2 linked regions of the Lonchura striata genome follow. The main gene of each other region encodes a partner of the protein of the gene in region 2 in a complex. Links are inferred from orthologs where the notes say so. Each region holds a gene or a part of one and is shown on either strand. Other genes may lie near its edges. The genes, in order: DPM2 and PIGQ.

Region 1 (15,803 bases), on a different chromosome or scaffold from region 2:
GAAACATGAGATGTAACCTTGAAACCAATCCCCCACACTGTCCCGAACAGGCCTGAAAACGGAGAGGAAATGACAGGGACACCACTGGGCTCCTGCACAGGAAGCAAGGCTGGAGGGGGCGGTCACACCGGCAGCTGCTCAGTCACCACTGAATTCTTCCACCCTCTGATTCCTTCTGCCCCAGCCCAGAACCACCCTTGTAGGGTGGGCTGAGCCCCGGCCAGCAGGTGAGCAGCAGGGAATTTGACAGCTCAGCATGTCCTGGCAGCCTCTGCAAGAGCTGGAAACAAACCTGCAGCCAGAGCCTCACCTCTGGACCCTCTGCTGGCTCCTGCAGCCAGGCTCAGCTGTGGCCCTCGGGGTGTTCTCAAGCCACCAGCATCACCCCAGGCAGGATGGGAGGCTGTGGGGCATGCTGCTGGCAGGAAATTCACAGTACATGCATGAAGGGTTAGAGTGCCCTAAATCTGCCCTCCCCAGGCAGGGTACAGCATCCCCAAGAATGGCAGAGGCAGCACAAAGTCTGGCCAGGTTGTCTCTGGTGCTTCCCTGCCTGACCTCACCAGCAGGACCTTTTCAGCAGGATGTCATGCACTGCCCAGGCCATGCAGCTGAACCCACCCTGGCAGGCTTGTGGCACCCTGTGGCATGGGCAGAGGACAGGGAGCGAGACTTACAGACGTTTATTGAGGGTGATGCTGCTTGCTGTGCTCCAGGGGAGCTGCCAGGGCAGCAGCTGCTGCCAGGAGAGGAAAAACCCCGGGGACAGGACACTGCCTCCACACCTGCCTGCTCAGCCCCAGCCTGGCTGGCACATGGAGCCTCGTCCAGGGCAGGAATCCAGCCAGGACTGAGAGCTGTGATGGGAACCACACCCAGCACTTCCCTGTGATCCAGGACAATTCCTCGCCACCCCCTCAGCTGGGTGGGACATGGGGCAGCACTGTCCCTGCTCCCTCTGCATACCCAGCCTCATGGGAGTCCCTCTTCAGAAGGGCAAGAGCCCCCAGCACTGTGATTAGTCTTTCCAGAAGCAAATGGAGAAGGAAAACCTGTCCTTAGCAAGCCCAAAGTCTCATTTCTCTCCTTTCATACTAGAATGAAAAAAATCCCACAAACTGTAGGTAAACTTTTAAATAAAATTCCCAGAAGGAACAACTACTGGGCTGAGCCAGAGCTGAGGGGAAGGAGTGCCCAGAGTGGGCAGGGCAGCCCCAGCTGGGGAGCAGGTCCCTCAGCAGGGGCTCTGGTCCCTCGCTTGATGAGCCTTGGATGAATCCTGCTTCTCTTTGGTCAGTGAATTGTAAACTACAGGTTTAGTCTCTGCAGGAGGGAACGTGGGAGCAGCTCAGTGCTGGGCACCTTGGAGATGTCTGCCTGGAGCTGCAGGAAAAGTCTTTTCCTGGCTATGATGCTGCAGCGTGGGCACCTCTTCATCTCCTCAGCCAGGCCTTCAGTCTGATTTCTTGGCATGTTTCCTGCTCTTCCACATGACAAACATTATAAAAACACCTGCCAAGAGAGAGAGAACCAATTGAGGTAGGAAACTTAATTCCAGGCCCTTCTACAACACCTGGCAATGAGAAACGGAATCTCAGCAGAGAGAGAAAGACAATTCTGCTGTCCAGAGGCTCAAACAGCCAAAAATCACAAGCAGCCCCAAGTCCCTGTGCCAGGCGAAGCTGCAACAGTAACCACAGAGAGTGTAAGTGTCACACGTTAGCTAAACCAGTAGCAACCCTCTTCTCTCTTCCTAATTTAGAAGTTTCTAATTAGAACCACAGCAATAACTCTCACCTATAAATAGCAGCAGCAGGAGCCCGGCTGCCACAGGGATGATAACTGCATATTCCCGAGGCAGGAAATACTGGTGGATCCCATGGTCACTGTCGATGAAGGGCTGCAGGGACACAGAGGGGTGTCAACAGGTGGGCACAACACCTCGAGTGCAGCCTCGAGGTTTTGGGAGAAACATGGAAATACCTGCTGTGAGATGGCTAAAAAAGGGTGCCCAGAGCTGCAGGTGGCTCAGCCACAGAGACAAAATGAAGGTTTTGGTGTTCAGTGGATAATGGGGGGGGGGCTATGGGGCTGGCACAGGGTCCCACAGCCCCGGGGGCTCGGGGTGGGCAGAGCTGCTGGTGCACAATACAGCAAATCCCTCTGTCCCTGCAGAAAGGAGCAGCTGCCACCGGCTCTGCTCCGTGGTTATCCCAGCAGGATCGCCCTGCAGAGGCCAGTGGAAGGCTCTGGACGCTAGGGAGCACTGTGAGGATTCCCAACAGCAGCCAATGCTCCTGCAGCTCTGGGAATGCCGGGAGCACAGATATGGACGGGGCAGCAGAGCGAGCAGATACAAAAGGGGAATTCAAATCGCTTGGAGTTGGAGGGGAAGCTGCTGGGAGTTCAGACTGAACCTGGCCTCTCACACCTGGAAAGCTCATGGGGAGAAGGTTCTTTCCAGGGAGAAAATCACTAATGACCTCAGCTGATGTGTCTCCAGAACTGGGCAGCCTCACAATCACTTTCCCAGAGCCCTGCATTCCCTAAACTCTTCTCTTCCCTTACACATTTGGTAAGATTTGTCTCTTTCTATGTTTTCCTCTGTCATCTCCCACCAGAACCAGGAATCTGGGGGATGCAAATGTGAACATTGATGACTACACCTCCATCAGGGCCAGGCTTCAGCTCTTCCCAATGGCTCATCCAGCCCTGGCTCATCAGCCCATCTTGGAACAGCAGGTGGGCACCACGATCAATGTTTGGTGCTGCCCAGGCAAGGCCAGGAACACCCAGATGGGATAAGGACAGTGCCAGCGCACAGAGGAAGACCTGCCCTGAAATTTTTAACCCAAAGGCAAGAGCCCTTCGGGCACACAGACACATCATCACCTGAACAAAGGCCGGGGAAACACTTGAGTATGGCGTGACTGGGATTACATTGGCCAGAGGAAGCCGTACCAGTACGATGATCCAGAGGGTGTAGTAAACGAAGAGGACGAGGCTGAAGGCGACCAAGCCGAACCCAACCAGCTGGTCCGTCGCTGTGGCCTGCAAAGGGAGAGGCAGCGCGGGATCCCCGGCAGCGCCTGTGCCGGAGCGCCTCAGGGCACCTGCGGCTGCTGCCGCGACCGGGCAAAGGGGCAGGGCACCGCGGGGAGGAGACCGCGGCGGATGCGCCAGCGCGGGCGGCCGTGCCGTGCCGTGCCGGGCCGGGCCGGGCCGCGGGAGCTCCCCCGGCCAGGTAACACCGCACCCCAAGGGCCGCTCCCGGGAGGCGGCCGGGCCGCTCTCTCCGCAGAGGCGGGAGCCTCGCGAGGGCTCCGGGCCGCGGTTCAGCCCAAGCCCCCGGTGCCGAGCAGGGACCGACGGACCCAGCCTGCCCCCCTCCCTCCCTCCCGCGCCGCTCCGGGCCGGGCCCGCACTCACCATGGCGCCGCCGCCGCCGCCCGCCGGCCCCGCCTTTCCGGCGCGGCCACCAATCAGCGAGCGGCCCGCCAACCCCGCCCCGGGAGCGGCCAATCGGCAGCGGCGGTGGGCGGGGCGCGCGCGAGGCCCCGCCCCCAGCCCCGTCACCTCCCGGAGCCGCGAAACGCTCGGAGAGAGCGGCGGGAACGGGGCGGGAACGGAGCGGGAACGGAGCAGAGAGAGCGGCGGGAACGGGGCGGGAACGGAGCGGGAACGGAGCAGAGAGAGCGGCGGGAACGGGCCGGGCCGGGTTCGGGCGCGGGCCCGGCCCGCTCAGCGCGGAGAGCAGCGCCGCTGCCGTCCGTATCTCTCCCGCAGGGCTGCGGTCCTTGCCCCGCTCGGCGCTCCTGTGCTCCAGTGCCGCTGCCTTTCCGTGCGAGCGCCGTTCTCTGGTTGCATCGCGCACCTGTGCCCGGCCCCTGTGGTGGGGATGGATCCCGACACCGGCTCTAGTCCCCGGGACACTGACGTCCCACGCCCCAGCCGTGCCTCCAAACGCACCCGGGGGCAGCGGGAGGAAAGGAACAAGCTGAACCAAACAGCCAAGGGACAGGCACAAACGACAGAATCATAGAATTGGCTGCCTCCCCTTCCTGAAACAAGGGAAAAGGGAAGACCATGCTTGGGACTCAGAGGTGCACTGACCTTTGTGTGGCCAAAGCTCTGGGAAGGTGGAAAAGGCAAAGGCTGCTTCCTCTCAGGGCTCCTGTTCCCCTCGAGCCCTGTCAGCCATCAGCATTGGGTGTCTGGGCACTGATTGTGCCTCCCTCTCCATTAAGGAGGTGGTGAGCCTGTGCTGGCCGAGGGGCTACTCAGGCATGAGATATTTATTCCTTGGAGCCCTGCTGGGCTGTGGGTCCAATCCCCCAGGCAAGCCTGGTGAGGTAGGCCCAGTAGGAGAGGCAGTTTAGGCAGAGCCCAGGCTGGGACAGAACACAGGACACTGCTGCCAACTCAGGCAGGTGTCCCCTTTTCCCTGGATTGCTGCTTCCATGGGACTGGTGCTGTGCTGCCAGCTGCCCTCCATCTCCAGGGAAGGGCTGGCAGGGATCTCTGCTCCCTGCTGCCAGAGCAAGCCGAGAAAGCAAAGCCAAACTGTTCTAGGTCCGAGCAAGCCCTTCTCACCCCACAGCATTTAAAACAAGAAACAGAGCAAGAAGAATCAGTGTGAAGTACCAAAAAACCTTTATTTTTCCCCCAAACCATAACAACATTTGACATTATACTGATTTCCTCATATATGTTATTTCTCTACATTAGGAACCAGATACAGAAAATACAAACACGATCTGTTGAATCAAAGACGGCACAGCATTCCGTTAGAAAAAGAAACAAAAAAACTAGAGGAGCAAGATAGAAATGGTGAAAAATAGTCATTCCCTCCAGCCCAAACTTTCCAAGAATCATCATCAAAATAGAGCAGTGGAAGTAGCTTCTCTTTCTAAACGCACTTCTGCTTTAAGACAAAAGTTAGATTTATCTTTAGATTTTGAAAGTAAAAAAAAGTTAAACTATCTTTCAAGCAATTTTGGAAGTTTGCATAGACCCATTCCCTTTCCAAAAATATCAGCCATCTCTCTATAGAATCTGATACAAATCGAGTGCGCCTCAGCCAAAGGTCACCAAGCTCAATTCACTTTCAAGAAAATAAAACATGATCTCCCCTTCCCCTCCCTCCCCCCACAAAAATATGGGCTCTACTGTTATTCCACGTGTTTGAGGCAAGTTACCAGGCTCAGCCACATCCCTTGCTCAGAGCTTCACCCCAATTCCTTTTCCTTTCCCATTCATTTCCTGGGGTTTCCACGCTCGCTGCCTCCCGGCGGGGCAGCGGGATGGGAGGGCGCAGGGAGGGGGCTGATGGACACAGCTCTCAGGAGGGAATTTTGCTTCCATCAATCCCTCCCCGCAGCGAGGAAGTGGCTTTTCAAGGACAAACACCTGCGACCAGGCAGAGTTTGTAGGAACTTGTCCCTGGGGACCGGCCTTGTCCAAAGGGCTCGGTCACCAGAGCAAGAACTCGGCTAGAGACCAGGTGGGGCAGCAGGGAGGGGCAGGGGGGTGGAGGGGGTCTGCAGCCCCCGGGTAAGGCAGCGAGGAGGGGAGGGGGAGCCCCTCACCAGGAGGGGTTTAACTGTGGTGCTCTAGCGTACCTGGAGTGAGGTTTTCCCAGAGGTTCCCAGCAGCAGTGCAGAGACCAGCTGCACTGCCACCTGCTTAAAAAGAAACAGCAACGACAAAATAAATAAAAAGTCAACCCCTCCTATTTAGATGAGAATGAAATACTATTTCTTCGGGCCTCCACCTGGTTTGGAACCCTCTAAAAACTGAAGCAAACGTTTAAAAGGGCTTGTTAACCTTTCTGCAGGGGGCAAAGTGATGTGGCAACAAGGGGGGGAGAAATCACACGCCTGCTGCCCATCACTCCAAGGGTCAGAACAGCACGAGGCCCCCATTTAAAGTGCTGACCATACAAAAGATGATGATGAGGGAGCAACATCCTTCTCCTCCCTTTTCCCATCACAATTTCCAACTGAAATCCACCTCCTTCACCAAGTAACAACTAAGCCTATTCTTCTGGACACTCAGTTTTATATTGGTTTTAAAAAAAGAAAAGAAGTTAGTAAAAAAGTTACACTGAATTTCCTAACGCTTTGCAATGTGCTTCCACCAACTAAAGGTTGAGAAACCAGAAGCAGAGCCCACATGTTTTGCCTGATCCTGAGATTGAAGCAGAGAGCCAGCTCTGCTCTCCAGGGCCAGCCAGGCGTGAGCAGCCCTGCTCGTCAGCATCAGAGACCCAGGGGATGCAGAGTCTTGCCAATAAGGTCCTTTTGCTTGTTTAAGCCACCTCTGAATCCCCTGAGGAGGGGAACAATGTGGGGAAGAACATTCCCCTCTAAGCCCCCCTGAAATAAAATATCAATGAAACAATTAATGCAGTCAAAAAAAAACCAGCCTGCTGGATTTGTATAAAAAAAAATTCCATAAACTTCACAACAAAAAAGAAAAACCCAAAGGAAACTAGCCAGCGGTTTGGGTCTGGAGACTGATTCACTTCTTAAATGTTCTAAGTCCAACAAGGAACAGGCAGCAATGATGCCACAAGGAAAAAAGTGCTCGTGAGATGCAGCTTCCTGAGGCAGCAGGGAGTGTGTAGGACCAGTGACCCCACAGCCACCACCTCAGGTGCCCATGGCTGCCTGGGGACTGCTGGGCACTGCTTGTGCTGGATGCACAGCAGGAGCTCTGCATGGGATCTACAAATAGGAACAGACTGCTCCTTCCTCCCTCCATGTCTGCTCCAGGTCCCCCAGCTGTGCTGCACAAGGCTGGATGACTAGGACTACTTACTCACTCAAAACCAGGGGCAGGAGAGCTAAAAAGCCACACAAAGACCAGAATCTGTGGAGGGACTAACGTGGAGACAAGGAAGAAATACCCTATGAGACACAGTTATCAGAAATGCAAGTAGTGATGTGCCAAGCCACTGGAAGAGAAGCCAAAGACGTGCCCAGGTTGGCCACAGTGATGTGTTGGAGCAGGTTGTGCCTCTGCCAACCTGGGAAGAAGAGACCAGTGCTCTCAAAAGCTCAACTGCTTCTCCTCTTGCTTTGCTGGGAAGATATTCCTCCCTCTGTCCCACTGATTTCGTGACGTGCCGAGCTGCCAGTGCCTCAGAGCAGCCAACTCTTGCTAATGGAGGCCAGAAGAAGGCCCTGGGATCCCAACTGCTCTGACAGTGACTGCCATTGTTTCTCATGGGAACAGAGGCAAAGCAGCAAAATGAGCTGGGTTACAGCCTCTTTCCTGGCTTATGCTTGCTCCTTTCAAGTCTTGGTTGGATCTGATTTCCCGAGGACCTTTGTTGGCCCCTGGGGAGCAGCCAGAGCCTTGGCTCTGCACGGCCATCCACAGAGAGGGCAGAGCAGCCACTGCTGTCCGAGCCTCCTCTGCCCTCGCCCTGACCTGAGCAGACGGTCAGGCCAGGCCTGGCTGCCTGGCACTGCCCCAGGGAGAGAGAAAGACAAGCAGTTCTCTCCTTCCTGCAGACATGTGGCACCCCAGGAACAGGGCAGGATGCTCAGCAGCCTGCAAGTGAGTGCCAAACCTACCCAGGCTGAATGAAGAAGAGATCACCATTAAAAAAAACCTAGCAAGTGTGAAAGAGCTTTTGTTCTTGACAGTCTCAAAAAATCCAACACTTTTTTCCTACATTAAACCAAACCAAGGTGTTGTCTGCATCCCCTTTTTACCCTAATTCAAATTTAATTCCCTTTGAAGGGAAAGGGTGGAAAAGATGCATATCCTATATGTGGTCTGTCCAAACACAGAAAGAAACCTCTTGACTCAAAGAGAGAAACCATCAAAACAGAGTAAGCAACTGTATAGTTTTACCACACTGCTGAGCACCCTCCCCATGCAGCATCCTTAGCTAGAAGGGTAAAAAAAAAAAAAAAAAAAAAAGCTGAATCAAGGCCCTTTCATTCCTTGTTTCTCATTCTGTCAGATTCCCTTTTCCAGTAGCTCATCTGCATGCATTCTGGCCAAAGAGACCACAGTTAATGCTTTTTTTTTCCCCCTCCTTTAAAAGAGGCTTTACAATAACTAAGAATTTGAACAATGTGATCAGTTACAAGTCACTCCTTGCTGAACAGAACGAGTGTGTGCCTGTACACACACACACAAGTGCCAGAGGGGAGCCAGGTCCTGAGTGTGGAACTGCTCCGAGGGCACGGCTGCCGAGTGCTACCACAGAACACTGGCAAAAGAGGAATGGGCACTACACAGAAATAGCTTATCAGCTCAGGGGCTCTGTACAGGGAGGGCTGCAAGCACAGCCTGCTGCTGGCCCACAGCTGGGGGCTGCCCAGATCCTCGCTGGCAGGAGAAATCTCCAAGTGGGAGCTGAAAGGGATCGACATCGCTGCCACACACTGCAAGGAAAAGTGTCAAACAACTGCAGAAACCAAACCCAAAGAAGAGCAATTGAAAGATCAAACACAGAACAGTTTGAAGCCTTGTCAGAAGAGTTCACTCACCACAGAGCAGGTCAGAACAGCTGCTGTGGCTAATGCAGCAGCAAACACCCCTTCTACCCTTGAAGGCAGAGACAGTAGCTTCTCCCCAGCCCCAGAAGGAACTAGCACAGACACAGATCTCTGCTGACAAGACAAAAAAGCCAACACCAAATCCCTTACTAGCCCAGGTCAAGAGAGGCAATTGACATCACCACCACAATAGAGAGACCACTGCAGTCAACTGCATCCAGCTCTGGCTTAGCAAAGGGTTGTCAGATGAGATTCTTTTCACAGTCCAAGAAGGGCAGTTCCCTTCCTGAGCCAATGAAACAAGGGGAAAAAAAAAAAGAAAAAAAAGGAAAGAGGCTTTATATTCCAAGCTCCAACAGGACTATTTGCTGAATCAGTCCAGCAAACACAGATTATACTCCTGGAATAGTGAGTAGAAGCCTCCTCCAGGTAAAATCTACAACCTCTAAAGTGCTCCTGCTCATTCTAGTTGATGAACACCCCCTTCCATGCCCAGCAGTGGAAGGGCTGCTGCAGTCAGTGGTGTGACGAGCACTCACATTTAACCGTTCACTAACTCCCAGCTGGATTGCGGTAGAGTTTTCTGAAATGCACTTTTGGGAAGTATTTCCTATGAGAAGATGTTGTTTGGGGATGTGAGGATAGGAAGGTGAAGTGTACACCACAGCATACCTTGTTCAGTAAAACCATTGCCTTGGGAGGTGATGTTCCCTTGCAGAGTCAATGGAATAAAGCATCCTGCAAGTGGCCATGTCACCATGTCCCCAACAAGCAGCTCTCGGTTTGGTTAGAATGGTTTCCCCCACCCCCAGTGGTTTGAAGAGTTCACAGTGGTATAACCCAATGCTTTGGGGAGACAGAAACTGAGAAGTCCCCTGCTGCAAGTGAATGGGTGGAATGAGGGATGCAGATGAGCAACATCCTCTGGGACTAGCCCAAGGATAAGTCCCACAGACAGCTTGTGTCTGAGCAGGAACAGGGGGAAGGCATGCACTGGAACGACCAGGAAGCAGAGAAGGACAATGCCAATGCAGGGAAAGTGCATGTTCTGGAGTGGTCTCGGAGTACTTCTGCAGTGCAAACATACGGGGAGGGGCATGGAGAAATCCCTTCTGGAATGCTGCATGAAGAGAGGTAAAGGTTGGCATCCATGTGGCAGCGGACTGGGTAGGGGGCCTGTGTCCAGCAGCTCTACCCTGTTCTTCACATTTAGTGGGTTTCAATCACCACTGGCTCGTAAACTCCAGATGAGACCCTGGGGAGGCAGAGGGGGAAAGGGGCCGGTTATTTTTCACAGTCATTTTAGCAACCAAGCTCTGATTCAGAGCTCTCCACTCAAACATCTTCTAAGCCCACTCAGCACTGCCAGTAATGAGCTAGCCTTGCAGGAAGTCAGTCCTTGGAATACTGAGGGGACAAAGAGGTGGCGAGTCAGCAAGAGAGCACAGGAGAGAGCTGGGTGTGACACAACAAAGGGGGAGTATCCTATCCAGAACAAAGCCAGTGTGCAGAGCTTTGCTGTGCTCCCAGTTTTGATACATCTTTGCATTACCATTACTGCTCCTTTTAATTGAACTGAACGATGCAGCAAAGCCTCAAACACAACTGGCCAAGAGCTGTACTAAGAGCTACAGTGGTAAGAAAAAGTTTTATTGCTTCAGAAGGCTTGAGAGAACAAGCCCTCGATGATTATGGAAGTGGCAGGGAGAAGGGACAGCAAGAGGCGGCAGGGAGAAGGGACATTTTTGATATTTTGGACTGCTCTGGTGCAGCTTTGCTGCAGGCCAGCAGGAGGCAAAGCTCCCTCCTTCTGGAACAAACGGGAAACAGCCTCTACCATTTTGTCCTTTAATTCCTCACTTCTAAAGGATTCTGTTCCCGGATCTAGCAACCAGGATCCCATTATCCCCCTGAGCTCCTGCTGAGCACAGCATTCATACTCTAGTGCAACTGCAGCCTGCCACCAAAGGGATCCCAGGGTTGTTAATGTGGGAATAAAGCCACCATATGTAGCACATGATGTCTCCTGTAGCAAAAAGTGGAAGTTTTCTAGGTACAGAGCCCACTCATCTCTCTGGAGCCCCTCTGTCTGCCAGCCTTTTGGGAAACCTACCTGTTTCCCAGCTGAATACCGCTCAGCGTGGTTGTTCCGTCTCTGCTCACAAACAACCTCAGGTTACTGTCTGCAGATAGAAGAGGAAGACAGACATCAAAATCCAGAACTACTGAGGCTGCCAGGAACTCCCCTCCCAGACACACCATCAGCATAGAACAAGTGTGTCTCAGCAGAGCACATCCACACTTTCTGGTGGTGTTCCCACAGTCATTGAGCCCCTGGGAACTCCTTCCCTTGCTCCAAAGGGGAGCCTCCACAACATGCAGCTTTGGACGAATAAAGGCAGAGATATTAATTCAGTCATACTGCCTCTTTTAAGGCAATTCCTCTTTTATCCAATTCCAAGTTCTTGGTCAGCTTATACACATCTGAACAGATAAGATGTGGGGTCTCACACTGCTTTGGTAGAGTCACTGGAGGAGAAACTCAGCCTGTTCTGCTGGTGAGAAGCAGCTGCATCCAGTCTAGTTCTAACCCACACTGAGTGAGGTATAACTCCCCACAGGGTAAGTGTGCTTCCATGTGCAACAATTTAAGGTGACTAATGGTAAATTAATGAAGCACAGATAACAAGCTAGGCTCAAGTTTAAAACTTAACAGAAAACCTCAGATAAAAAAAAAATCAGATTAAAGGTTAATTTATATGCTAAACTGGAAAATGAAACTGAAAACAAAAGCAGTTACATGTGACTGCAATGGAGGAAACCCCTTCTTAAGCTCTCCGACAGACCTGATCACCAGCACATGGTAACCCATGTTTCTGTGGAGATGTGCTGCTTCCCCTCCAGTTGTGCTCTCCTTGTTTGATAAATACCCTTGGCCTGACCCTGGATGAAGGCCACTAGAGCAGTGCAGACAGCTGATGCAACTGATCTCCACTGTGCTGAGAATCAGTATTTTTCCTCTCTCTCCCTGCATGTTTGAGCTACTATTCAATCTCTGCTGTCATGTGTGGAGCAGCAGCAAGTGCTATCTGTACATACATGTGCAGCTCACAAACTCACGTGGTTTATCAACCACAGAAACACCCAGCAAGCACTGAAAGCAAATAGCTGTCAAAAGGAGAAGGGAGCCCATGGCAGATCAGATCTGACTGTAAACGCTTGGCAGCCTTGCAAGAGGAACAACCCAGACATCCCCTCTGAGGCTTCTCCTCTCACCTTCAGTATTGCTGACATCTGTGAAGTCCTGACTCTGCATTATTTTCTCCACTATATCATCAGCATCGATCCTGGTGTCATCCACTCGGGTTGGGTGACTCTCCATTGAATCCTTTTTTCTCCTGGCAAGAGGAAATCCAGGAAAAACTTACTCAGCTTTTCAAGACACAGGCTTCTACATACTGTCCTGCTTTTCTTGGCCACAGTCTCCTCTGCAGTGGCCACGATCTGATCCACTGCTGCCTGAAGACAAAGGAGCAGGTTCTATCTCTCCTTCCCAGAGAAAGGTCTTTGCTCCACTGTTACTCACCGGGAGGGTCTGTCCAGCAGGAGGGGCGGTCTGGGGGGCCGAGGTGGCTTCTCCAGTTTGTGTTCCCTCTCCCCCTCAGGATACTCCACGGTCATGCTGAGTCCCCCCGAGGCACTGCTGCTGGTGGACGTGTTCCGGCGGTGGGTCAGGTCGGACATGCTGGAGGAGCGGGAGTGCTCCGTGCTGTAACCTGCCAACACAAGGATCACAAACCTCAGCTGCTGCTGCTCCCACTCCTGGCAGCACAGGTAACGGGCAGGGAGCTTCACAGCAGCACTTCTGCTCCTGCACACAGAGGGTTAAACATCTATGGGCTCATGTGCAGGGACTGAACAGGAGGCTGGTATTACAGAGCAGGCGAGAGAGATGGCTGAAAATCACTCTCACAGGGGTTGCAGGAAGGAAAAAGATGGCAGAGCTGTGTGGATCAGTGGTTACCAGAGATCTTGGACTGCTGGCTGGCATAGCTCGAGTTCCGCGAGTGCCCCGAGTGGAAAACTTCCTCTGGGCTGGACAGGTTCTGATCTGACTCTTCTGGGACACCTGCCAAGGAAAAGAGGACACTGTTTACACCATAACCAAGCCAGCACATGGTGCACTGATCAGCTGGGAGTGAAGACTGATCTTGGAATGACAGATCAAGGAAAGGACAGTCTACTGGCCAGAGCCCTGCTGTACAGGCCAGCACAGGGATTAGAAACACCCAGGGAGTAGAAAAGACCACAGTGAGCTCTGTCAAGTTTATCACTATTTCTATCCAGCACGTGAACTTACAAACATCTCTGGGGCCTGGTAGCATCTAGGAGGACAAGTAGAGTCTGAAACTATCCATAGGTAAAAGCATCAAACTAAGACCAAGTAAGCATCAGATGGCCATTGGCAGTAAAGTATTTCAGCCTCTGTTTGGGTGCTTCTGTTACCATCTTACCCTTCCTATTACTTGTGAGAGAGCCTGTACCACTTAAATAATCTCTGAATTTGATACCCACCCTTCAGCATAACCCCTGCTCCTTTGCTAGTCCTGCTTGTCTCTCTGGATAAGCAGGAAGCTTATCCAGAAGCACATAAATGGCATCAACGTAGCACATTAGCCAGCTTTTTAAGAACATCACTTGCACCACGTGCTCTGTCAACTGAGGGGATGAGACTCAAGTGCTATTTTGGTGCAGTGTATCTGCCTGCACATTTGGAATATGCTGGGAAGGACAAAAACTGATGTGAAAATGCAGTGCCCTTGAAAACAGGCTCATACAGCAGCCAAAGAACTGCATCAGCAGCTGGAACAAGGCCACTAGACCTTAAACCAACCTCTAAAACCTTCAGAGGAACTTCTCTAGAAGATAAGTCGGAGCAACAGAATAGCTGAGTGCAGAACAATGGCAAGTGTCATTGAACACAATGGAAAGCAGGGATGAGCAGTGCATGAATTATTAAATCCCCAGCAAAAAGAACAAATTATCCCCAGTAACAGAAATATGCATGTGGCAAATAGTCAACCTTCCTCTTCCCACTTAGATGGCTTGGTTACTCTCAATATTCTGAATGAGCCATGGGGTTGAGGATGGGTGTGGGAAAATATGCAAAATTAAAGTTTCTGTGCTTGCAACTGCTGGGAAAAACAAAGGAGTGTCCAGGCACAGCCACACATTGCATGGCTCCAGGCTGGGCATTCAGACCTGAGCTGAGAATGGCAGTTCTTGGCTTGGCCTGGCGCAGGGAGCCAATTGTGGAGGAGCTGCTGCTGCTGGTGGTTCCCTCGCCCTTGCAGGTCAGCTGCAGAGTAGAGTCCTGCCCCGGGATGGTGATGGATTTGGCAGTGGAAGGAGGCCTGGAATCAGAAGGGAAGGAGGTTACAGACTGCCAGGCAGGGAGCAGGCATCATTCTGTCCATCCCACCCTTCTCAGCAGGGGGAAGCTGGCAGCCCTCTGACCAGCAGCTCAAACGGGATGTTGGGTTTTGTTTTCCTACATGCAAGACTGGTGTCTTCCCTACCTTGGATTGCATTACAAGAAAAAGCAAGTTTTTGAGGTAAATTAAGGCAAAAAGAGGCCATTCATTCATTTACACAGGACAACAAGCTGAGAACTTGCACTGTCTTCCAGGACACCATCCAGAACTGCCCTTTCACCCCCAACACGTGTCCACTGGCCACCTGGCTTCACAAACAGGAACTAGTTTGCTGCTGTCCAGCTTCCTTTCTCCTACACCTCCTTGGCCAAAATTAAACCTTTTATCCCAGCAAACCTGTCCCCCTATGAGACCACTTTTACAGCAATCAAATAACCTTTCCCTTTTTTAACTGACTATTAAACTCCTTTTCAGTGAAACTGAAGTGTTTTTCCAGCTGTCAGAATTATTTTTCTGGTTATTCCGTGAGCCTGCAACATCCCTTTGTAAATGCTGACTGCAGGGCAGAACTGTGAGTGCCTGGAGCTCCCTCCCTTCCTCCAGAAGTGCTTTTGGGTGGAAGCCACAGCATGTGCAGCGTGGCAAAGTGAATATTCCTGTTGGAGCTCTAACCTCTCTGTAGCCTGAAGTCTGAACTGGAACTAAAGGATCATATTATGGATTTTAAGTGAGGAGTGAGAAAATATTTTGTCTCACTCAAAGCTCTGAGGGAAGATGTTACATGAGAGGGGATCTCTGCAGTATTTTGGAAGACAGAATATTTAATGTGGGCAGCTGAATGGCTATAAAGCTTTCAGGAAACTCACAGCATGCCTTCACCAGGAAAAAACCCTCCCTAATCACCTTATCATTGATTTGCATGCACCCAGGTGCTTTGGGGACTTTGCTTCACAGGTTTTTAAGGCTTTTACAACCTTAAGCAAGCAAACTGTTCCTGCAGCAGCTGTGGGAGCAGCCCTTTGGTCTGTCAGCTCAGCTGCTCTGCCCCTTCCAACTCCAGGAGGAGAAGGTTCATGGAGTGCTGCAAAAAAATCAGTGCTTGGAAGTGATTTCCCAGCACAGTTTAATTCCTGCCTAACCCTCTAATGAGTGTCATTTACCAGAAGCTCTACTGATCAAGGACTATTCCACATGCAAAGTTTCTATTTTTAGATATTTGCACATCATCAACATAAAAGGGAAAAGTGGGAATGACTGCAAAAATCCTTCAAGAAAATTAGATTTGACTTTCAGACTGAATCTACATACATTAAATGGATATTTATATCCTATTCTGTGTAATTTTCAGGCATTCTAACAGTGGGACTTGCTTCCATTGCAAAGAAGCAACAGGTATTTTTGTCAGACATTATTACCAGACATCATAGTATCCTAGATTTAAAACATCTGTTACTCCTATAAAGTTAGTGTTTAAGATACTCAAATCTTCTTTATTACACTTTCTCCTGAAGCAGAAATTCTTCAGAATCAGATGACACTGATCTTACGTTCAGAAGTGTCAGAAAATACTGCAGCACTATGAAAAGCCACTCACAAAACAAACCTACCAAAAACTATGCAGCATTTTTAACAAGAATTCGAGCTAATTTATACACTCCAAACTAGCTCCTAAAATGAGACCTTTTAGCCCAGAATAAAACTGCTACAAGAGCTGGCCTCAAGGTAAAGCTCACACTGCTGGGAGGCAACATGAAATACTCCTTTGGGCACATGGCAGCCCTGCTGTGTAGTCACACACCTTCCAGCACACCACAGCAGAGCTGGGACCGTGATGCTGCACTGTGGTGTG
Region 2 (16,286 bases):
GTTGTACTAAACATCATGTGGTACAAAATGGAACCAAATTCCTTGAAAGAACTTAGAAGGTCAAGAAGGAGACTTGTAATAAAGCCAGGTACTCTGTTATCCAAGACTGATGTTTTAAAACACATATGAGACAAGTAAATATAAAGTTGATACTGTGGGTGAGTAAAACAAAGGAGAGAGAAAGCTCTGCCTCCCAAGGCTAAGGACAGGCTCAGTGTAGGTTTATGCACAGCAAGCCTTGCATTCTGCCTGCTGCCAGGTACACCTGGCTGCTGCTCTACCTCAAAACATGTATCCTGGCCCTAGGAAAAGCTGAAGTCAGAATTCCTGAGAAGCTTGGTAGCAACTATCTGGGCCCAACCCACCAGCTGAGCTTGAGCTCCCAACTTATGTTTAGACTGCAGACTGTGACTGGATGCCAGCAAGGCCTGGGCTTAACCTAACTCCAAGCCTGGCCTGAATCCTGGCACCAATTGAGGTGGGACCAAGTGAGACCAAGTGCCTGTGCAGAAAAGGATCATCCTGTCTGATGGTGGTGGCACACAGACAGAAAAAGGACCCTTGGAGCTGATTCCAAATCTTCTGCCCAACCACAAAGTTGTGACTTAACTACCATTCATTAAGAACCACTAATACACAGTACCTACAGAGCAGTCCCAGGACACAGGGGTCCTTGATGATATCAGGTTTGAATCTCAATCTCTTCCAATAATCCAAAACTGGACATTTTTTCCTTTGTGTACCACACTGTGTAACCAAACTGCTCAGAAAATCTTTGCATGGGAAGAGTTTCACTGTAATTCTTTTACAACTGTATCACACAATTGGAAATCTGTTAAATACCTCCATTCCTTTAGGTTGTACTTAAAAAGATTTATCCATTAATACAGTAACAGCTGTTATCAAAATTTCATCAATTACAGTGTCCCCTTGCAGCTTAGAACCAGAACTCCACTCTCTGTCACAACCTCTCCAGGCAGCTGCAGTGGTGGAATCACCATCCCTGCAAGTATTCAAAAAACATGTGGCACTTGGAAACATGGGTTAGTGGTGGTATTGGCAGTGCTGGGTTAATGGTTGGACTCGATGATCTTAGAGGGCCTTTTCAAGGTAAATGATTCCATGATTATAAGTTTCTTCCCAGCAAATCTGCTCAGAACTAGCTTTCAGTCCAAGCATTTGCCACGTGTTACATTTGGAGCATCTATCCAGGCTCACAGTTGTGAGAACAGGATTTCACCATAGATTCAGGCTGAGCAGCAATACCTCTAAACTTCTGTAAAGTGCCAAGGCTGCAGCACCACAGTCTCTTGGAGAGAGGATGGATTTAGAAACAGTATTTGCTGATGTTCCACAGTTGCAAAGGGACTTACAGCAAATGGGGAGGAGGGAGTCCCCAGCTATGGAGCCATTAAAGAGAGCCTCATGTCAGCCACAGAAAAGCTGGAAATCCACTGTTTCAGCTGTGATGAAACTGAAGCAGAGCTGAACTATCCCTGCTGCAAATGAGGAGGACATGAATGCCTCCCCAGAAAACCTCCCAGCTCCATGAAGAGTTCTGAGGGAGCCTTTGGCCTTGTGATTTCCTGCTGGAGTGGAGCTCTAACAGAACCTCTTGCAGCAGCCTGTTTCCAATAGAACAATTTTGTATCACATTTCTCACTGGGGTTGAGCAGTAGTCCTGCAATGCCTAAACGGGAATTACATTTCCAGACAAAACAAGCTGGGTGATGTCATATCACCTACCTGCTCCTGCAGATCCCAGAGAGCAGTGAAAGCAGGAATGTCAGCAGCATGCAGGCAGGCACCGAGGCCTGCTTCAGCAGCTCCACAATGATACTGGCCTCCACCCCATCCGACTGCCAGTGGGTCAGCTTGATGGGTCCCTCGTCGTACCTGTCTGTCATGAAGAGGACCTGGCTCCTGGCCACCGTGTCAAAGATGGCCGAGAGCTTTGAGGCATCTTCTGCCCTCTGGCCAGCTGTGTCCAAAGGGGGGTGCAGATGGGAAAGCATCACCTTGCGCTGGTCATAGTATACCAAGATGATTTCTTCCTCCTGAGGGTTCTTAGAGTGTTTCTGAAGGATAGAACAGCTCCAGAATTTGCTGTCTCCCTCTTTGCTTATCTGGATCCATGGCTCATGGCAGAATATGGTCCCAAGGTCTTCCAAGAACTCACTGAGACTCTCTTCTTTCTCCTGTTTGCTATTGCTCCATGAGCCAAGCACAGAAACACTGACTTTAGTCATGCGCTGAACTTCCCCAAGGTACTGCTTCACCTGGACAGGAATAAAGGGGAAGTGTACCACAGCAAGGATGACAGCAGAGTTCTGCTCGGAGATCCAGCGGCCGATCAAAATGCCGCTGTCTGCTGAGGAGCAGCACGATGGAAAGAACACCTTCAGTACCATGGCAGTGACCCTGCAGGGACATACACCTGCCAATAAACACAAAAATTAAACTTGAGGATGGTGAGTAAACATAAGGAAAATCTGAGCCGGCCAAAGCCACCAGAGAGGAGAACTAAGCGTGTTTGAAAACACAAAGCCCAACCACTTGAGTAATGACATTAGTGACAGCCAACACACATACACACATTCAGGAAGCTCCTAATGATCTGCAGTCTTTGAAGTGAGGGAAGGTGAGCCTGGAGTTTCCCAGTAAAGCCCTTCTTCCAGTCCCGGAAAGGTCTTTCATGGTGGTATCCAGATAAGCACAGCCCATCAGACCAGCCAAGATCTGGCATTCACCTAGCCTAAGATCTTGAATCCCATGCTGGATGTGCTGGAGCACCTCCTAGAGAAGGGACTACATCATAGCTCACTGTGGTGCCTCTGGGGAGTATTTCCTGCTGCTATCAACAATCAAACACCAGTTCATGCTATTCGGTCTCCTTTACCACCTTACAACCCAGATCTCTGCAGCAAACTCACAGAGCCACCTTGATCCCATCACTCAGCTCCTCCTGCCTCACTCCTCTTATCAGGAAACTGAGACAAAAATTTTGTCAGAAGAGACTATAGTGATTAATTGAAGTAGTTTTAATTCATTAGATTCAACAGCCTAAAAGATGAGAACTTTATCAGCGCTCTTTATCCTTAGTGCTTTTCTCCCCATCATTAAGAACACATCTCAGTGGCCTTGGGAGACTTTTCCAGAAAGGAGCTTTGAGGCAGTTGACAGTGTCTCTTTAAATAAGGTGGAGGTTTCTAACAGGAATATAATTGCAGTAAGGAGGGCGCTGGCGCAGAACAGGCAGCATCCGGCGCCCGCTGTCCTTTCCTGTCCTTTCCCGTCCTTCAGCGCTTTGTTAGGGATGTGAAACTCCACAGGGCCCCGAGGCTGCTCCTCTGCAAGGGACCAGTCAGTTGGAAAGGGAACACAGAGGGTATTTACAACACAGAGAGACCATGCGCAGAGGGAAGGGCCTGGTGGCTTTTTCCTCTCCCTTAGGAGAGGACAGCTGAGCCAGTAAAGCTCAGCGCCTGGGAACTTCCTACTCGGAGGGATGGAGGAGCAGTTATAGGGAGTGATTAACCTCTGGGGTTAATCACCCACAGTGGGGTAATCTGGGGAGTTGTGGACTCCCCATCCCTGGCAGTGTCCAAGGCCAGGTTGGATGGGGCTTGGAGCAACCTGGGACAGTGGAAGGTCCCTGCCCATGGCAGGAATGGGACTAAATGGTCTGTAAGGTCCTTTCTATGTCAAACCATTCTATGATCTATGGCTCTTCTGAGATCCTGCTTCCTCACAGACTCCAGGTCTCTGAGGTTATCCCTCTGGTCACAGAGGGAAAATTAAGTCCCTCTGTGGCCTCTAGATCTTGCTGGGGGTTGGAGGATCTCTGGAGCAGTGAGGGCCAATGCTGGGTGCATTCAGAACCTGTAAACACTGTGCTTCCAGCACCATACTGCCAACAAATTCCTCAGGAGAGGGAAGTCTTGGGATGTACTTTGCAGTTTTGCAGTAAAAGGGAAAATTCAGTCCAAGGAAAAATATCAAAGACAGTCCCATGATGTTTTTCCCATCGAAACAAAGAGAGTTGTTGTGAGTATTGCTACAAGAGACTCTCAGTGTCTATGCATGACTGTCCTTAAAGGTCTGTCCATCCACTGGACATTTTAGAAAGGAACTGTCAACTGACTCTTCATACACACACTTATTTTTCACTGAGATTGTTTTTAAAGATAGCCACAATCCTCTGGGAAAACTTCTCATGGAGCAGAAACACTTGACATCCTTATCTTCTCTAGTTTGTGCGTTTTTCCTCTTACACCTTCCCCAGCTTCTAAAATTAACATAGTTTTGTGCACCCAACTACTCTGGCTATAGCTTGGGTCAAATGATCTGCCCTTTGGCTGCTTGAGGCATGGCAGAGAAGATTCTGATATGACTTTCAGGCTGCACAAAATATCTTGATAGTTGAAAACCTGGCTGATCAACTATTGTTATGTTAATGTTCTCATATTCCCAAATCCATGACTTGTCATGCATCTACCTCATTCATTTCAATAGACTGAAATGTCAAATGTCATCACAGTCTGCTTCACTGCTGCTAATTTTAACAGAAAAATCTTACCAATGCTCATGCAGTCCCTCTTCATCAAGTGCCTAAAATCTTTGAGATCCACCTATTTCTTGTGAAAACATCCACCTTTCCTTGAGAGCACCAATGCAATGACCTCAGGTAACCAAAACAAACAAAATAAACACCACCTAAAATGTGTTAATACAACCAACAAATGAATACAGGGCCCTAAGACTGATGGATTCCAGAGTTTTTGTTAGAAAAGCGAAGGTGAATGGTGGGATGTGTCCATGGTTTCACCCCAGAGAGTGTCCTGTGGCCAAGGGGTGCCAAGGGGGACAGATCCCATAGCAGACCCACACCTGAGCATCCCATGATCCTTGCAGGGGGGTTAGGGCCAGGATATAAAGAATCATAGAACCGTGGAATTGTAAAGGTTGAAAAGCCCTCTATGACCACCAAGTCCAGTCAGTCATTCCCCAGCACCACCACCACCACTAAACCATGCCCTCAAGTGCCACATGCACACGGCTTTTTGAACACTTCCAGGCCAGGCATTCCATGAGCCTGTGACAGTGCCTGAGCATGCTTTACGCGAAGAAATTTCCCCATCTATTCTATCTATATATAAATTAAACCTCTCCTGGCACAACTTAAAGCCATTTCCCCTGGGAGCAGAGACCATAGCATGGCCTCAGAGATGGCAGCAGGGAGTTGTGCAGAGCCACAGGGTCCCCCTGAGCCTCCTTTTCCCCAGGCTGAGACCCCCAGCTCCCTCAGCCCCTCCTGGTGCTCCAGCCCCTTCCTCAGCTCTGTTCCCTTCCCTGGACACGCTCCAGCCGCTCAGTATCGTGAGGGGCCCGGTGCTGACCCGGCCCGGCGGGGGCTCCCGGTGCCCGCGCAGGCTCCGCGCGCGGCCCAGCCCGGCCCGCCCGCTCCTGCCACCCGCTCCTACCGCCCGCCCGTTCCTGCCGCCCGCTCCCGCCGCCCGCCCGCTCCCACCGCCCGCCCCGCTCCCGCCGCCCGCCCCTGCCGCCCGCCCGCTCCTACCGCCGCCCGCCCGCTCCCGCCGCCCGTTCCTACCGCCCGCCCCTGCCGCCCGCTCCCGCCGCCCGCCCCGCTCCCGCCGCCCGTTCCTACCGCCCGCTCCTACCGCCGCCCCGCTCCTACCGCCGCCCCGCTCCTCCCGCCGCCCGCCCCGCTCCCGCCGCCCGTTCCTGCCGCCCGCTCCCGCCGCCCGCTCCTACCGCCCGCCCGCTCCTACCGCCGCCCCGCTCCCGCCGCCCGCTCCGCTCCGCCGCTTCCGCCCGCGGTTGCCCGGAGACGCCGCTGCCGCCGGGTCGTGCAGCCGGACGGGCCCGGCCGGCACCGCCACCCGCCGCCCGCGTTCCGTGGTGCCGCGGCTCCCCGCTCCCGGCCTGTCGGGCCCCGCCGGCCCCGCTCCCGCCGGCGCCGCTCCCCGGGCTCCACCCGGCGCCTTCCCGCGGGCCCGAGGGCGGCGGGGCCGCCTGAGCCGCGCGATAAGGAGCGGTAGTGCCCCCCTGCCCTGCCACCGCCCCAGCTGGAGCGGGGCCAGGGCCCCGCTGTGCTCACGGGATGCTGCTGGCCCCATCCCCACAGGCCAGGGGCTCACCTGTGCTCACAGGACTCCGCTGTCCTCTGTTCCCAAAATCGAGCGGCCCCGCTGTTCTCACAGGACCCTGCTGTCGCTCATCCCACAGGCCAGGCACCTTTCCATGTGGGACCCCGTTGTTCCTCATCCCCAAAGTCCAAGGACTCACTGTTCCTCAGGGAACCCCGTTGTCCCCCATCCCACTGGTGAGGGACTCGGCTGTGCTGATGGGACCCTCTTGACCCCCATCTTGACTGCCTCAGTGGATGTCTGGCCCAGCAGAGACCCATGGGTGCCCACGGGTGCCCAAGAACTTTGTCCTGTGATCCGGCCGTGGGCTTGGGCCAGTGAGCCTGGGAAGATGCTAGGCAGCATGAAGAGGTCCCACATGGAAAGAGAGAGCAGGTGCAGAAGTCGGGGTGGGCTACATAAAAGATTTTGGGGTTTAGTTTTATTGTTGGATGCCACAGAATTGGAAATAAGATAGGGGAGATTAAGTCTTGTGGGAGGGAGCTCAGCTTCCTGCAATGGGAGAGGCTGATCCCCCTGTTTCTGCAGACCATGCAGCCCCAGTCCCTGCTGCTTGCCTCACGCTGCGGGGAGAGGGGTTCTGGAGAACCTCACAGGGTGTCTGTTGTGTCCAGTGCCTGTTCCAGAGCCAGGAGGGAGCAAGGCCCTCTCCAGGGATCATTTGGGATCAGAGACGGTGACTTGGGTGTGGGACACCATTAGAGACAGAGAAGTCATTAAGCTCCGTGCCCACACCGAGGGCTGGAGCAGGGAGAGGAAAACGCCCATCCCTGTGCCGGCACACCCTGCCCACCTTCCCCTGGCCCTTGCTGATAAAGGCAGCAAGACGTGCTGAGCCCTCCTCTCCAGAGGACAACAGGATGGTGTCTGCCCCAGGATGTGAGGTAGTCTGAGGAGTTCCACGATTCCATATGGAATTTACTCCGTGTAGTGGTTGTTGCTTCCCTGTAGAGGTCAGGAATGCAGCACAGAAGGAGTTACCTTCATCTTACCCTTTTCCTGACGTCTGCTGCAGACCCAGTGTGCTGTTCTCTGATTGCAAAACCCACCCTAATAGCCTGGGAATGAATTAGGACAGACCAGTTGGCTCAATCATGCCAGGCTGGACAGGGCTTGGAGAAGCATGATCTAGTGAAAGGTGTCCCTAGTCATGGCAGGGTGTAGATCTAGGTGATCTTTAAGGACGCAATCCCAACCATTGTGTGATTCCATGATTCTGTGAGCGAGCATGGACTTCTAGCATGGCCTTGCCTCTCTGGTCATGGTCTGGCATCAGGAAGATGGGACCATGGCACATCAAAATCACATGGAGAGAGGAGAAATATTTATATCAGCTTTGGAAAACACTCAAGGAACCAAGGATGTTGTGATAACAAGTTTGCCAAGGCACCAGTGCAAGGCCAACTCTTGAGTTGCTGGGTCATCCTTTACACACTCTGGTGGGTCCAGAGCTGGTCTAGTCCTAGAGAAGCTGGGGGCCTTTAGGCAGTCAGGTCTGGGGCAATGTCCCATCCCTAGAAATGTCCAAGGCCAGGTTGGATAGGGTTTGAAGCAACCTGGTATAGTGGAAGGTGTCCCTGCCATGAAATGGTCTTTACAGTCCCTCCCAACCCAAACCATTCCATGATTCCATTACAGGAATCTTTGAGAGCAGTGGAGCTCTCAGCACCCCAGCAGATGCACAGCTCAGTGGGGCTGCAGGGAAACCATCCCCCCTCCCCACCTGTGTGTTTGGTTGGGGTCAGCACGTGATGTCCCAGCATTGGTGGGTCTGTACCGGGGTCTCACACAGTACTTAAAGACTTTGACACAGTTCTCCACTGTGTCTGCCACAAAGAGGTGCCCAGAGGAGGAGCAAGCCATGCCAGCAGGCCTCCGCAGCCCCGTGGACACCAGGCAGATGGGAGCTCCATGCTCTGGGAATAAGTGGACTGTACGGCGCTGCTCGTCTGCCACCAGGATGCTGCCATCCGTATCCACGCAGACCCCAGCAGGGTTGCCAAACTGGTGTCCATATTTGCTGCTGAGAGAGCAGAGGAGCTTACAGCTGCTCATGAAGACCTTGACATCTCCACACTCTTCACTCACCACAAAGCCTCCACCGGGCACTGGACTGATGTAGCGAGGTCCCTGCAGATTTGGGACAGAGTGCACATTGAGTGTCCTGAAGGTATGGTCCAGAGCAAAGCTGTGCACTTGACCTTGTGCATAATCTGCTATCAGGATCTTGCCCATGGAATCTACTCCAATACCCCTGGGGGAGCCAACCTTCCTGACCTTTATCCATTCCCTCTTGGAGAGGTTGGTGTAAGGGTTGAAGACCCAGATGGCTTCATTCACCATGTCAGCTACAGCCACCATTCCCATCCTAGTCACAGTCACATCTTCCGGCAAGAAAATGCTGCCTCCCTTGCCTGATTGTTGGCAGGGCAAGGACTGCAGTGTGTGGCCTGTGCTGCTGAGCACGTGGACCCAGGGAGCACTCTCAGCTGTCACGTAGATGGAGCCATCCAGGGAGCAATGGATTCCACTGACACCCCCGTAGCGGCTGCCGGTGGGGTTGGGAATCTGCCGGACCAAGTCATCCTGGCAATAGTGGAGGAGGTTCTTGATGTTGTCCAGATCTCTGCACAGGCTTTTGGCCTTATCTGCCAGCTGGTGGACCTGGTGCTGGGTCACCATGCCCATGCCACTCTGGCTGTGCAGCACTGGGCTGGCTGACTGCAGTGTGGTAAATGACTTCACCTGGAGGCTGTAGATTGTTTTCAGAAGCTTCTGCTTTAGCTGGCTGGTCTCCAGCGTGTAGTCCATGACAAATCTCTTGTCCCTGTTTGGGGGAAGCAGTTAGGACCATGACTGTCCCTGCCTGCTGCCATCTCTGAGGCCATGCTATGGTGCTTGCTATCTACCCAGGGTCAAGGTGTTGGTGCTATTCTGGATTCACTTCATGCCAGAGAGACCACGTCACTTTATTGCCAGCTAATTATAAAATAAAGACAAACAAGGACCATGGCATAGAAATTAAAGGGTCAGCAAACTGGACCTACACCTGGAGGAACAACCCAAAAAGGTCCAACAGCTCCAACAGCTCAACTGGTGTCAGATATGGCCTGAAGATTTATGTGTAAAGGTGAGCCCTGTGTGTGAACTTATTGAATGGGACCTCAGACTCCCCAGTTCCTGAGATAATGACTTCTTTCAGGTCTTTAACACTTGTTACCCCTATTTTGTGTGAGCCTCATCTCTCCAAACCAAGCTCAATCCATGATAACACTTGAGTCACTCAGGGTGATCATTCCCCGACTCCCACATGTCAGATGTCAAACGTGGCCAGGGCATGTCTTTGCTCCAGGCAGCCCCTTTCCCATCCAAATAGCTTCACAGAATCACAGAATATCCTCAGTGGGAAGGGACACGTCAGGATCATCCAGTCCAGCTCCTGGCCCTGCACAGACACACCAACAATCCCACCCTGGGCATCCCTGAGATCATTGTCCAAACTCTCCTGGAGCTCTGGCAGCCTTGGGGCGGTGCCCATTCCCTGGGGAGCCTGTGCAGTGCCCAGCATTCTGGAGGAAGAACCTGAAGGAAGAACCTCCTGCTTCTGGAGACACAAGGCGTAACCAGCGTGTTATGGAGGAAGAACCTTTCCTGATATCCAGCCTAAACCTCTCCTGACACAGCTCCAACCATTCCCTGGGTCCTGTCCCTGTCACAGAGAGCAGAGATTAGTACCTGCTGATCAAGTAATTTCTGAAGTAGCCAACAACTTTTCAGGAAGAAAAGGGGAGATTCTGCTCTGAAACATGCATTCAATCTTCACCATTTTTTTCAGACAAGAGAACCCAAATTTTTCTTTTGCACACTTTTCCTCAGTCTTAAAACTAGGCAGTGATGGAAGCCCAGCTTTGCTATGTTATCCCCAGGCATGGCTGGAGCATGGCTTACAGCACACAGCCAGGAGCTGACAAGTGAAATGTTAAGAGACATATGACCTCATTAAAGCTCCTGGAGAGGCATAGTTTTACTTTGCTTTAAATGTGATTATAATTAAAATTATAATGGCACACTTGACTGTTTTGAGTTGTTTGCAAGCCATCACTCCACTTTTATTACCCCACGTCCTATGATTGCCGGGATCATGTGCCTTATGCTGCTTACAAAAGTGGCATTTCCCCAGACCACAGCTGAAGAAAGCTAGGGCGTACGGTGACCAATGGTCCTTCTCATGTGCAAATACTTCAACTATCTAAAAGCCATCCCTGAATAATTGCAGAGTTACCAAATGCAAATACGCAATGGCAGGGATGAGAGAATACAGATGGAAATCCAATTCTGCTGTCTTGGAGCCTGGGAACAGCTTTTTCTACCCTGTGCTGGTTATGCCAGCAGCAGAGATCTGCTTGGTGGAAACAAGCCCTCCATATCACAGGACTGCTTGTCAGGGTCCTCCTTCAGAGCTGGACAAAGTCCTCAATCCAAGAAGCTGGATTTTACAGATGGGGAAACTGAGTCACTGCTGGGGAGATGATGTGCCATCTGCCACACACCCCTCCTCAGGAGCATCCACCTCTCTTCCTGGGCACTGGACACCCAAAGCTGCCATCAGACCCTTGATGGTGTGTCCTGAGCCTAGTTTGAGCTACTTTGGGGTCCAAACCCAAGAAGAGGGCTCTGACACTGTCCCCTATACAGCTCAGGCCAACCACCTGTGGATACAAGCTTAGCAGCACAGATCCTGTACCTTAGTCCTGCTGTCCTGGGGGCTGCCTGTCCTTCCCTGGCAGTGCTGGCCTCCCACCAGCTCTGTCCTGCTCCCTCGCTGGGCTCAGGGCAGCGGGACCAAGGGATTTTGTGTTGTTAGTGACGGGCAATTGCCCTGAAGTCTGGGTAAACACAAGAACTCCTTGTGCTGACAACCAGAAGCAGCAAGACAAGGGCTGTTCCACGTGGCTTTTCTGCCTGCTGGTCTCCTGCCCAGAGACAAGGTGCCTTTCTCCCAGGATCAGTCTGTGTCCCACCTGCCTGCTCCTGCCAGAGGGAGGTACCCAGCTGCCCGGGGGATTTGGGGCTTTTATGTAGAGGCAAAAGGGCTGATTTGCTGCTCCTCACCCTTGGCAGCTGCTGGGGTGGGATAGGGATGCTCACAAGGTGAATCAGGGCTCCTCATGGCTTCACCACTGCCTCCATGGGGACAGTGCCGCTGTGTGCCTCAGTTTCCCAAATTACAAAAAAGAGACTGGTGAATTTTGCCATCTCAGGCTTTGAGGGGCAGTGATGGAGAAGCATCTCTAGAAGAGGCAGATCAGCCAGGACTGCTGGAACAGCCCCCTTTTCCCATCTCCACACTGCTCAACCCAGGCTTTCCACAACTGCACACAACCATGCTTGGAGTTGATGGTGGTATTAGTTCTGCCCCAACAAAGAGGGTCAGGAGTAAAAGCAGAGTTAGCAAGGAGCAGCCTACAAGGGGCTGCTCAGAGCCTGCCCTCCCTCCCTGGCAGTGATTCCTGAGAGTGCTTTCTGAGAGTCCCCTCCCCACCTTTGCCCACAGTGAGATCAAACACCCACCTTAAACTCGGCCAAGTCGTGAAGAAGTTTGTGTCTGTTCATTATTCAGACGGGCTAAACGTGAGTGAAGTTTTGGTCAGACTCAGCCACGTTTTGGGATGCTTGGAGGAGCTGCATGGGCCTCCCTGAGGACTAAGGAAGCAGGTTGGGTCTGTCTGGTTGCAGGAGTTGTGAGATGGGGATCTGCCTCCAAAGTCTCAGGGCTGGGTGCTCTTCTCAGCAGGTGTTTAGGGCCCTTCTGGTCCTGGATCAATTTACCCCTGAAGCTCACACTGCCTGCCTCAGACCTATTACCAGCCAAAATTACAAAACTAACTTGACATGACAAGCGCTGGGGCCGCTCCATCTGAGCCCCAGCAGGACGGGAGGCAGCTTCAAAAACCATCTCCCAGGGCAACAGGGTCTGACCTTTTGTTTTGCTGTTGTGTGCTCCATCACCAGGATAAACAAACACAGCCTGGCCCTGGGGCTCCCGTTCACCTTTCCAGGACCGGGTTCTGTCACAACTAGTTCAGAAGCCACCCCGGACCCCAGGAGAGGTCTGTGTCATGGCAGAGCCCTGGCACAGCCCTTGCCCATGCCAGCACTGGGAGCTGCAGGAGTCAAGGACATGGGCATGGTCAGCCTGCTGCTGCCAGAGACGGACCAAGGGAAAGAGAGGTCGTGTTCAGTTCAGGTTTTCCTGGAGCACATTCCTTGCAGGTATAAGTGCCAAACTTCACCTCTCGTGGCTTTTCCTCCCCTGGTGCAGGGGCAGCAGCTCTTGGTTGTGTGTCCACAAGGAACACACAAGCCCTGGCTCCCTGCCAGTCCCTGTGCCCAGGGAGACAGGCACGGTGCCTGTTTGGCACACTACAAGTGTGCAGGGAGCCAACGGGATATCCCACAGGACTAGTCAAGGTCATTGCTACCAAGTCACAGATTTGTGGGAAAATAACCCAAACCCATCCACTGAGAATATTTCCCCACCTAGAGCACAGCCCTGTGACTGGTGAGAGTGTGGGGGGACTTGAAAGTCCACAGTGTCAGTCCAGTGTCACTTGTGGAGAAAGCAAAACCTCCCTGCTGGACACCAGAGCCCTCCAGCCCTGAGGATGCCAGCAGTCCCCAGCCTGCTCCACACCCTGTCAGCACAGGAAGGTTGCGGCCGGGGGCTGTGGAGGTTTGCTGGGACTGAAGTTTTGAAGGGACGATGAGGGAGCGGGCTGGACACGGGCTGGACACGGGCTGGTCATTGCTTTGTGCGGACACCAGGCGGCCCCGGCTGTCCGAACAGCCGGACTGATGGCACGGCTCATCCAGCAGCGGGAGCGCACCCTCTGTGTCCGTGTGTGTGCAAGGCAAAGCCGGATCCCAGCACTGTGCAAGGCAAAGCCGGATCCCAGCACTGTGCAAGAGGTTCCCGTGGGAAGCTGGAGCATCTGCTGCACATCTAGACACAGAAAACACGATCCCCAGCCTGAGCAGAGCCTCTGTCCTGGCTGCACGCCCCGCACTGTTCACGGAATGCTTGCAGTGTCCAGATGGGAACATGCAGGGACTTGGGGACGCTGCGGGATACATCTCTTGGAATCTGATCCCTCACGTAGACTGAGACTGGGCTGGGGCTTCCTAAACTTGGTTCCATGGAGGTGAGAGCAAGAATTCAGCTCCTCTTCAGGCATCACAGAAATCCCTCCAAAAAAACAAAGAGCTGTAACTACTCTGGCCCCTAAAACTGACCTGGCCCTATCCTCTGACCAGCATGGACACCCCAGAATTGCTGCTGCTGGTTAGCTAACCAATGGAAAAGATTCCTCAGAGTCTGATAAAGGCTCAGCTGACACCTCAGCTTCTCCTTTCTCCCTCCTCCTCTGCAACCTCCCTTGCTCACAAGGCTCACAAAGAGGATTAGGGAGTTAATCCTCTTTGGGACATCAAGCTCCCTGTTAAGACTGCTGGGAAGGGCCAAAAGCTGTGAAGCACAGTGGGGCACTGCCACAAAACCCCGCTCATGCCAGGAGCAGCCCTGTGGATGAATCCCTGTCCTGGTGGCAGCCTCTGCATTGCTGCCACCCCCTTCTCCACCCAGCCAGAGCACAAGTCTGTCCCAGGGCCATGGGAGCTGGGTAGGTCCCAGGATGTCTCCCTCCACCCCATCCTGGCCTCTCCACCTGGTCTGAAAGGGTGGTGGGAGGAAAGAGAAACATCCTCCTGTACTGGCAAAGAATGGCATCCCAAAGCCATGCAGGAGATGGGAACCAAACAAAAGCTTTCTGCAAACACAGCTCCATGTTCAGCCCACTGAAGAGGGCTCTGGATGTCCAGGAGCCCTGTAGAATCCCAGGGACATGGTTATTACTGAAGCAAAGCGATGTGCTGGAAGCATTTCCTTATGGATGATACCGAGCCAATTGGTCTTCCATGAGGGATTGCTCCGGCTCTTCCTCTGGAGAGGAAGGCTGCAGGCTGGCATTGCTGGTGTGTCACAGGCTTGTGGCCATTGTCAACAGGTGAGCAAGGAAGCACTTGCACTTCCACTTTCTGTTCCCACTTTCCACCCAAACCACAAACCATAAACATCCTTGGGTACCCTGCACCTAGAATCAGGGAGGAAATAACAGTGGCTGAGTGCTTTTACTCCCTGAGCCCTGGATGTGGGAAAATGATGTGTGTGTTTTGGTTTTGCAGCAGCCGCTGCCTGGGATGGGGAATCCAGGGCTGCCCAGACACAGCACCCAGCTGTGCAGGTGCTCCTGGGTCTTCAGGAAGCTTCTGCCTTGCAGGAATGTTTGCTCCTTCTCTCTCAACCATTTGACCCTCAGCATCTTCTCCTGCATTGCAGCAGCTGTGGGGAACATTGGCACCACTTGGCATCTCCTGTGCTGCCCCAGTCGCAGCAGGCACGGGCCCCTTCCAGGCAGGGAAGTGGGTAGGGAGGCAGGAGCTGATCAAACAGCAGCAGCAGCAGCCAGGATCTCACCCTGCCTTAGCCTGCAAAGCCTGAGGGAAACCTTCTCTCTGCTCAGCTTGACTGCCTTTGGAAGCATTGGCCCTGGTGAGAGCCAGAGCACTGCTCTCACCCACCCCAGCTCTTTTAAGTACTTAAACCCTCACTGCTTCCCCCCATGGGCCTTTGATCCAGCTCCAAAGCTAGAAAGGTTCTGCCCTGGGCAAATACCCAGGGAAACAATCCATTCCCATTTGGAAGCATCTAGAGCAGAGAAAGGAAACCTCCAATTACAACAACAGATGGGAAAACCAAGCAGGGAAATTTTGTAGCCTTTTCTGCTGTTTTTCCTCATGTAAAGCTGAGGAGGTGGGATAGCTACTCCCCCATACTGGTTACATGCTATGGGGGCATGGAGAACAGGGCTGCTGCCAGAGCAGATCTGGAGCTGCACTCTCAGGGACTGCTCTGTACTTCACTTTGTGGCTGATGGGGGTTGAAGAGTTCATGTGGGTCCTTAAATACACCAGCAGTGCAGCAGTGCTCCCGTGAGAGCCAGAGGACAGTCACCAGGGCACAGCAAGGTGGCTTGAGGCACAGATGCCACCACAGTGGTTATGGTGGGGAGAGTGGTGAGGAACAGTAGTGCTGCTTCCACAAACAGCTGGGAGCAGAGGATCCAAGATAAGCCACAGGCAATGTATAGAGTGATGCTTCTGGCTGCCTCTGCTCCTCTTCCTCCCACAGAGAAGCTCCCAGGAGGATCAGGAGGACTTGCTGTTCTTCCCCAAGAGCTGCAGTCTGGGTGAGAGCAGGCGGAGGCTGGGGCTGGGCTGTCCCTCTGATCTGCATTGCTCTGGCAGATCAGCCCCTGCCAGGTCTCAGCACATCTGTGCTGCTTCCCTGGTGTGCTACCAGCCCTGGGGGCAACATTTGTGCCTCGAGGGGAGTCACAGCCTCCCCTGCTTGTTCCTACTGTGCTAAAGCTTCCAAGGAGGAACAGCGCTGAGAAGAAATGTGGGGAAGAGACAAAGGGAATGGTGTTCTCCTGGCACCTTCCAGGACACTTGGAGCTCCCAAGAACAACACCAGTCCTTACTTAAGTTCATGGGGAAACTACCCCACAACGTGCAGTCATTTGGCAGAAAGAAAACCTTCCCAGCCTTTGCCACAGTAGGAAGTGCAAGATGGGTTGGGACAGGCCCTCTGGAGTGATGAGGCCCCTTTGGGGTCAATTCCTGATTTGTCTTCCCAGCTCCAGAGTCCTCTCAGCCTGATATCTTTCCCTGCCCTCGGCTCACAGATAAAGTTGCCCTGTCACTGCTGCAAGGCCAGGTCATTGCCTCCCTCCTGCCTGAGATGGAGCAATTCTGCTCCAGGTTGTCTTTGCAGCTTCACATGTCTGCTCAGAAATCTCCTGGCCGACCTTGGCCCTTCTTGTTACCATGTTTGGTAACTTTCCACTGCTCCGAGCTCTGGCCTGCCCATGCTGGGGTAAGAGAGAACTGGTTGTGCTGGGCAGGAACCACTTCTTGTCCCCAGCTGGTTCCACCCGGTAGCCCACATTTCCGAGTGAGCACCCAGCTCCCTCGCCTGTCACAGGTGGGTCCTGGGTG

The links.
Region 1: PIGQ (region 2) and DPM2 share a complex: the UniProt entries of both Homo sapiens proteins name them as parts of the glycosylphosphatidylinositol-N-acetylglucosaminyltransferase (GPI-GnT) complex. The link is inferred for Lonchura striata from reciprocal best matches to the Homo sapiens genes PIGQ and DPM2.

Annotation. Positions count from the first base shown.
Region 1 is NC_134624.1:738,447-754,249, forward strand, and holds DPM2 (dolichol phosphate-mannose biosynthesis regulatory protein), read right to left. Parts: upstream 3,499-15,803; 5' UTR 3,433-3,498; coding exon 3,430-3,432; intron 3,052-3,429; coding exon 2,962-3,051; intron 1,901-2,961; coding exon 1,798-1,900; intron 1,513-1,797; coding exon 1,454-1,512; 3' UTR 667-1,453; downstream 1-666. Other genes in the region: EEIG1 (early estrogen-induced gene 1 protein), read right to left, coding at 9,729-9,774, 10,633-10,702, 11,796-11,917, 12,106-12,295, 12,544-12,648, 13,782-13,933. UniProt on the Homo sapiens protein: Regulates the biosynthesis of dolichol phosphate-mannose. Regulatory subunit of the dolichol-phosphate mannose (DPM) synthase complex; essential for the ER localization and stable expression of DPM1.
Region 2 is NC_134618.1:2,696,871-2,713,156, forward strand, and holds the start of PIGQ (phosphatidylinositol N-acetylglucosaminyltransferase subunit Q), read right to left. Parts: upstream 5,882-16,286; 5' UTR 5,793-5,881; intron 5,687-5,792; exon of another isoform or gene 5,682-5,686; intron 2,438-5,681; 5' UTR 2,412-2,437; coding exon 1,747-2,411; intron 1-1,746. UniProt on the Homo sapiens protein: Part of the glycosylphosphatidylinositol-N-acetylglucosaminyltransferase (GPI-GnT) complex that catalyzes the transfer of N-acetylglucosamine from UDP-N-acetylglucosamine to phosphatidylinositol and participates in the first step of GPI biosynthesis.